2 linked regions of the Caenorhabditis elegans genome follow. The protein of the gene in region 1 interacts with the protein of each later gene in a pairwise test. Each region holds a gene or a part of one and is shown in the gene's direction. Other genes may lie near its edges.

Region 1 (3,606 bases):
TGACACGAAAGAATATATTTAAAAAAAAACGATAAAAAACGCTAACAATGAATGAAAATAGCTGAAAAACTGAAAAAGTACAAATAAATGAAGAAAATAAAATGAGGCAAACGCGCTCCAAGGATAATTTATTTCAGCGCATATTTAAAAAAAGAAGCCGGGGCACAAATGAAATTCGCGATTTCAAGCTCAAATATAAAATCAGGGAAATTTTTTTGAATTTTTTCATGTTGATTTTCGGAACCAGGGAAAAATTTGGAGTCATTTAAAAATATTTCCCAGATTTGGGTACCCCACCTTTAAAAAAATTACCCTATTGATCAAAAATTTACTTGAAGCATCTATGGAGTTTCTTCTCTATTACGTAGAATGTTGTTCACATTCCTATCTGTTCTCCTGATTTCTTACAACTTTATTTTTCGAGTATGTTTGGCTAGCACCGTTCATTGGTTTTCATTTAAAAAATTAGAATTCCTTTTTATTACTGTAAGCACATTCTATTTTTTATACTTTAAAATTTTTTTCAGTACGAAAAACAACGGAATAACTTGAGATCAACACCGTTGCCAACTTGCCACCATGTCGATACATGGTACAACTTGGATGAAATGAATGTGACTCCAATCTGCTGCTGCGACGCTGATCAAAATCACACTGATCTAGTATTGTACCCATTATTCTAATTGTATCTCGGCTTTCGCCTCCAACGGCCTTCATATTTTTGATAAAAACTAAACCCTCAATGTCATGTGAAAAGAGGTACAAATTTGAGCAAGAATCAGGCGTTATTTGGGCAGCCCTGTACTGATTCCGTACTTATACTCCATTTTTCACAAAATGTAACTGGAACCTTCTCTTCATCTAAACTTTAATTCAAAAAGAAGCATTAAAAGAGTCGGATCGAACAAGTTTTGAATTTTTTAAATGAACCTGGATTTTTCAAATCGAAGAAAACTGTCAAGAAACAACTAATACATAGCGTTATTTACTGAAAATTTTTCATTTCAAAAATGAAATATTGAAATATATGAGATTAGTATTTGTCTGGTGAGGTTGACAACTCGACGCAAACAACTGTTTTGATTTTGACTTCGTCTCCATTGTTAGCCACAACAGTGGTACTGAAAAATGGGACATTTTTATAATTTTTTAAAACAAAACCCGTTACCGGCGACCACGGCATCTTCCCACGACATCGATGTTAACTCCGGTGGCCAAGAGCACTGCGTCTTGGATGGTTATGTCTCCTTGCGAGACATTACTTCCAGATTTGTCGGCAATAATTGCATATGTTTTGGTATTGCTAGGGCAAGAGATTGTTGTGTAGGTTTTTCCGCGTCTTTCCATTTCACTGAAAAAGTTTTGTTTAAGGCAATGTGTGATCTGCTTGAAAATTGCCGAACTAATATCAAATGGTGAAAATTTTCAATTTAAAACAGACTGAATTACAAATTGTTCTATTTAAGAAAAAGGAAAACTTTTGTGTAAAAATAATTCATACTAAAGTTTTAGAACATTTTTTTTAATTCTTACTAAATGCTTTAAAGTCGGTGGTAATTTAAAATTTGAGTACTCTGAAACTCACGAAAATTTAGCTTTAACGCCGATGGATTTCAATTCCGATGGAAGATCAAACTCTCTCAATTTTCTGCACTCTCTTTCTTCACTGCTGTCGCTAGAGCTGGAGCTGGAACGAGAAGAATAGTCGTAGTACAAACGATTATCAGAATTTGCTGGTGCAGAATAGCTTGGATTATCGTTGGCTGGTGGTGAGTAGCTAGGATCATCATTGGCTGGAATTCCGTAACCGGAGGAAGCGGCAGCGGTGCATACAAGAGCAAGTGACAGAAGAAGATACATCTTTTGGAAAGATGAGACGATGGTTGAGTTTGACCGTATTTCATCTTCTTTTTATACAACTTTTTGTTTTTTATCTTCTCAAAATTCAATCTTGTCCGGGACAATGAGAAAAAAGTGATTCACCAACAATGTCGTGACGTTGTGATTGGTTTTGTCATATTTTACTTTTTTATGTTTTGAGAATGAAAATCAAAAAAGGAAAAAAAAACAAAAAGAACGCATATAAAAGAGATAGAGAGTACCCAGTTCAACAACCTTGTATTCAGCATCATGGTCTTCCTCATCCTCACAGTTGCGTGCATTGCCATGGTGGCAGCCGACGGTTACGGAGTGAGTTTTTACAAGTAAAATGACTACCGCATGTGAGCTAGCCTCAAGTAAAGTTTCAGAATGCATTCAGCAATGTAGAGCTGTATTATAAGTTTTCAGGCCGCCTCTGACCCATCATACCCTGCTCCAGGCCCATCTTACGGTGGTGGTGGTTACCCAATCTACTCTGATGAGGATAGTGATTCTCGGGAACACAGAAGAGGTTGGTTGAAATGTGTGCGCTAGTTGCATTTTATAAGTATCTTTTTAAAGATTTCCGTAAGCTGAAAGACTTGCACAAAACCAATGTCGTTGATGCCAGAATCAGGTAGATCACTAAACATATGCAGTTCATTAAATAACTATTGCAGATACTACAAGCATAGAGGAGATTATTATGCAGAAATTAGCTGCCCACGACAATCAGACAACAAGAAATACACATGGATCCTTGCCGACTCTGATGAAAAAATTCCATCATTTGGTATTGATGGAACTGTTGCTCTTGCCGCCGGACTCAATGTGAGATATGTTGCTAAATACTCTCGCCACGGAAAATGGTCCGGCCGCGATATGACAAACAGTGACAAGCAAAAGTTCCGTCGTGTTGGATGTCATCATGGTACTTTTGAAACATCATTGACTGTTTAATTGAGTTTTTATACTATTTTATCATTAAAAATAAATGAATTCTTCAACGAGAGCCTGTGTAGAATGAATGTGAGATAATTTCACCGAAAAGAGTTTGATTGAAAAATCAACACCAAAGACAGCTAAGTTAAGCAAAATAAACAATTCAACATATTTGTCTTTTCCAGCTTTTTTTGTATTGTTAGGAAAATGTGTTCGAGTAGTGGGCGGCAAAGAAAATTTTAAATGACCGAAACTGAAAATTCCCAGAAAATTGACAAATTGACGATAAAACCGCAACTGCCATACATTTTAGGCAGTTTGTTGATTCATAATTTTTTATTATAAGTTTCTAAATTTCTCATTTAAACTAAAAACTTAAGCGCGTCCTACAAATTTTTCTATAAACTAGGGCTCCCATGCGGTCGCCGCGACGGCCTCACGGCGTCACCCACGCCGCATTTATAGTGAGGCGCGGACCTCCGAACGTGTCGACCGCTTGCAAACAACCACCTCTTCGCACTATGTTGCACACACACCAAGCTACTCATTTCACGCAATTTGTTGGCTTTTTGATATTTGCCAACAAATCTTTTATATGTAGTACAACGGTACCTCAATTATGAGAGGAGTCCAGTCAACAGAAATATCATAACTTGGTTCCATGGAAAAACTGCGGAAAACTAACATTTGCAAATTTGATGAGTTCACTTCCTCGTGAAAAAAACAATAGGACTTTTAGAGTGCATTCAGTAAATTGTTCTAAAGGAGCGGATGAAAAAAAAAACTGTCTTACATTCAATAAAG
Region 2 (3,932 bases), on another chromosome or scaffold:
ACTTTTCGCAATTTGTCTTGATGACCTCAAAACTGAAGAACATAAAAGGTAATTTTAATGAAATAATTTTCAAACCAAAGTTTTGAATTCTCAGACTCGTCCAATCTCTTCTCATCGGAGATGATGCTCGTAATCGTTGGTTTGACAAGTGCTTCCAGACTATCATCGATGGTAATTTTCACAGAACTTTATTAAAAATCATATTTTTTCAATTTTAGCCAACGGTCAAGCCACAATCAACTTTGAACACTCGTGGGGAGATGGAGTTGCCGTGCTTCGTTTAATGGAAGAATCATTCAAGGATACCAACAAAAATCATTTTGTATCTCCAGACGACACTCCAAAATCTCATAATCCAGCACATGTGCAGGCACTCGAATTCAAGCTCACGGATTCTCTCAAATCTAAAATCAGTGATGCTCAGAAGAAACACGTCTCTGCAAATTCTGATCTTGATTTTGCGACAATGGAATTCGAAGGACTCAACAGAGATTTGATCAAGAAAACTAAATTGTCACCGGATTCTGTGATGCAGCTTGCTATTCAAATGGCATTCTATTCTTTGTACAAAGAGTTTGTTCCAACGTATGAGTCATGTTCCACTGCTGCTTTCTTGAAGGGAAGAACTGAATGCATGAGGTAAGCTTATTCCTCAGAATTAAAATATCAAGTTTCAAAACTCAATTTTCATATCGGCAACATCAGCTACGCGTGCCGCCACCTTGGCTATTCTTGAAGAAAATCGTAAAGATGTTCGACAACTATTGACTGATTGCTCCACACAACATTTCCAACTTGTAAAAGAAGCATCAATGGGACAAGGATATGATCGACATTTGCTCGGCCTCAAAATCACAGCTCAACGATTGAGCCAACCAACTCCAGATTTCTTCCAAGATCCAGGATACACGAGAATGGGTCATTTTGTACTTTCAACGAGCACTTTGTCAACGGATACGATTGTCTTCGGAGGATTCGGACCAGTTGTGCAAGATGGATTCGGTATTGGATACAACGTTGTTCCCAACAAACTCGGAGCCGTTATTTCGAGCAATAAGGTTCGTGATTTCTCTATTACCCAGACGCTAAATTTTATACTTTTTGCGTCAAAATTACGGTAGTGGTCTCGACGCGACCTTTTTTTTGTTGCTAAATCCAAACTTTCGTTGCTTCGGAATTTTTTAATCATTTTTTCGATAAGAAATATATGTATATTTAAAAAAAATAAAGCAAAAAAACTGAAAAAAAAAACCAATAAAAACAACAATATGTTGCAACATTGAACACATCGTAAGAAACAAAGAAAAAGTCAATTAAAATTCCAAAGCCTAAGAGCTTTAAAGGCGCACAGCTTTTCGCATTTAATAAAAAAAACTATCTTGTTGATACCCGAAAAATTGTCTAATTTTTTTTTGAAAAAAAAATTAGTCAAAAAATAGAAATATTTAGAAGTTTTTTAAAAGTATATGGAAAAAAAAGAAACTTTTTTAAGAATATAAATATTATCAGATATTATATAAAAATCGAAATAAAACTAAACATCAATAAATTGAGATTAGAAAAATCTTGTTCAGGTACCGTATTTTTGACAAAAAAAACTCGAAAATTTCAGGTTATTATCTTATCTCTTAGAATTTGAAAACATCTTATCTTTATAAAATTTTCAGTCGAAACGTGACGCTGCCGCCTTCTCGAATGCTCTTTACAAGAGTTTGGACATTCTTCGTGGTCACCTTCTCGATCCGAAATAATTGTTTGATGACATTTATGTATTTATAGTGTAAACTACTTATTTATATTCATTTTTCTGTATTTTAGGGTAATTTTTCCTCGCGGTTTCTGCCAGATTTTAACCTAACGAGTATTTTCAGTTTCAAAAAATTCTTGCTTTCACATTGTAAATGTTAATTTTTGTGATAAATTTTTATCAATCGGGAAATCAATGTTTGATTATTTGATTATTCATTGATGGTTTTGTTATCGGTTCAAACCTTTTATTATCGATTTTCACTCATTTTTTAGATTATTCAATTTATTGCCATATGTATTATACTTTTATTTTAAAGCTTCAGGTTGAAAATGACTGACCCATCTAGTTCCCCGATTCGACCGGACATGGTAGAAGCAGCAAGAAAGTTTATGCTAACTCCAAAAGTTAAAGAGACTCCATTTGAAGAACAACGACAGTTTTTATTAGGAAAAGGAGTCAGTGAGGCTGAAATCTTGGAAGCACGAGCATCTATTCCGCCGGAGCAGTTGAGAAGTCAAATTGGAACAGAGAATATGATTCCAATAGGAGGTCATCCGCAAATGATGATTGCTCCAAAACAGAATGGGTTTGTAAATGAAATTATTGATTTCAAAATATCACCGCAAATTTCAGAATAGTATCATTTGCACAATCAGCTGTGGTACTTGGATCGATTTCATATGCTGGATATCGATTCGTCCGATCATATGTTCTGCCCAGATTCTTCGATATTCCTGATCCAGCAACAGAGGAAATTCGTCAACTGCAATCACAAGTCGACGATCTTCAGAATTCAATAAAATTCATAATGGATTCTGTTTCGCAAACAACACAACAGCTTGCAACACAACAATCAGAAATTTCAAGAGCCCTCTACTCAGTTGCTAACAGAGATGCTGATTTGAATCGGGTTGAGGTGAATTCTAGAAGATGGTTTTTGTAATGCTAATATTTCAATAATTTTCAGAGCGGAATTTCCACGATAAAAAGTTTACTTCTCAGTCAACATAATTTTGCTCCAATCGTAACACCTAGTGTTACTTCATCAATTCCATCATGGCAGCAGAGTGCAACTCCAACTTCTGCAACATCAATCACCACAACTACAACTTCTGAAGCAGCTTCCGGATATGCAACTCCTCCAGCCAATTTCAAAGAATCGTCATTAGCTGACGAGTTGGCAGATATTGAAAATATTGAATAGAATTTCAGAAATCTATGTAAATATATAATTAAATTAATCATTTTTAATGCACTCCTCGAAAGCCATTCCCTTTTTCTGTGATTTCTCATCAATTCACTGTGCCTTTTCATTTTTCATGTGCCACATTCCAAAGATTGTTAATTTCATCTGTGATATTACGAAAGAAAATCATATCGACATCTGAACGTTTCATTTCACAAAATGGTTGAGAAACCAGATATAAATTATCAGAATAAAAATGTGTTGCATGAAATAAACATTTGTTATTTAGGCATAATGAACAAATCGTTGATTGCTCTCGGAGCACAGACAGCTCGTCGATTTCTGAGCAGTTCATCAAAAAATACGATAGGAGGAGGAGATGCGAATCGGGCAGACACTGGTAATTTTAGGTTTTTTGACTAATAAAAAATGTATTTATTTAGCATCCGTTACTTTTCGTTTATTCCGTTTTGGATTCGGCAAAAATTTGTAAACACTCGATTTCTGATATTTTTCCAATTCATCAAACCTGCAGTCACGAAGCTATTTATACGGTACTCGGTCTCGACACGAAAACTTTTTTTAATGCAAAAAAGTACACTCCTTTAAATAATGAGTGCTGTAAATTCCCACTCTCATTTCTAAGAATTTTATTCCATTTTTCGTAGGTTTTCTCAAGATTTGTTAAAATTTATGTGTTTTTATTGTAAAATTTAAGTTTTTCATAAATTAATGTGTATATCTTTATAGAAAAACTATGAAAAATTGATAAAAATTCAACATCATGATGATCAACGAAAGTTTGAAACTACAGTAATCTTTAAAGGTGCACACCCTCTTGCACTCAACAAGAATTTGCCGTGTCGAGACCGGTAAGAATCGCAAAGTTTCGTGTATGGGTAATACCACTAGCTACAATTTTATTATTCATTATAAATTGAAAAAAATAGTTCTAAAAAACAATATATTTAACTTGACAGGTGTACTCGATGGTTA

Evidence for each region.
Region 2: the proteins of stha-3 (region 1) and prx-14 interact in a two-hybrid assay, tested with the Caenorhabditis elegans proteins (one large-scale study listed by BioGRID).

Annotation. Positions count from the first base shown.
Region 1 is NC_003284.9:11,881,407-11,885,012, reverse strand, and holds stha-3 (Conserved secreted protein), read left to right. Parts: upstream 1-2,095; 5' UTR 2,096-2,130; coding exon 2,131-2,190; intron 2,191-2,289; coding exon 2,290-2,392; intron 2,393-2,442; coding exon 2,443-2,497; intron 2,498-2,540; coding exon 2,541-2,820; 3' UTR 2,821-2,869; downstream 2,870-3,606. Other genes in the region: Y62H9A.7 (ORF12), read left to right, coding at 528-683; ule-5 (Uterine Lumin Expressed/locailized), read right to left, coding at 1,034-1,121, 1,169-1,351, 1,586-1,860.
Region 2 is NC_003282.8:11,181,066-11,184,997, forward strand, and holds prx-14 (Peroxisomal membrane protein PEX14), read left to right. Parts: upstream 1-2,066; 5' UTR 2,067-2,079; coding exon 2,080-2,336; intron 2,337-2,383; coding exon 2,384-2,666; intron 2,667-2,717; coding exon 2,718-2,954; 3' UTR 2,955-3,230; downstream 3,231-3,932. Other genes in the region: cpt-2 (Calponin-homology (CH) domain-containing protein), read left to right, coding at 1-48, 95-171, 219-639, 692-1,058, 1,668-1,751; nuaf-3 (NADH dehydrogenase [ubiquinone] 1 alpha subcomplex assembly factor 3), read left to right, coding at 3,231-3,336, 3,917-3,932.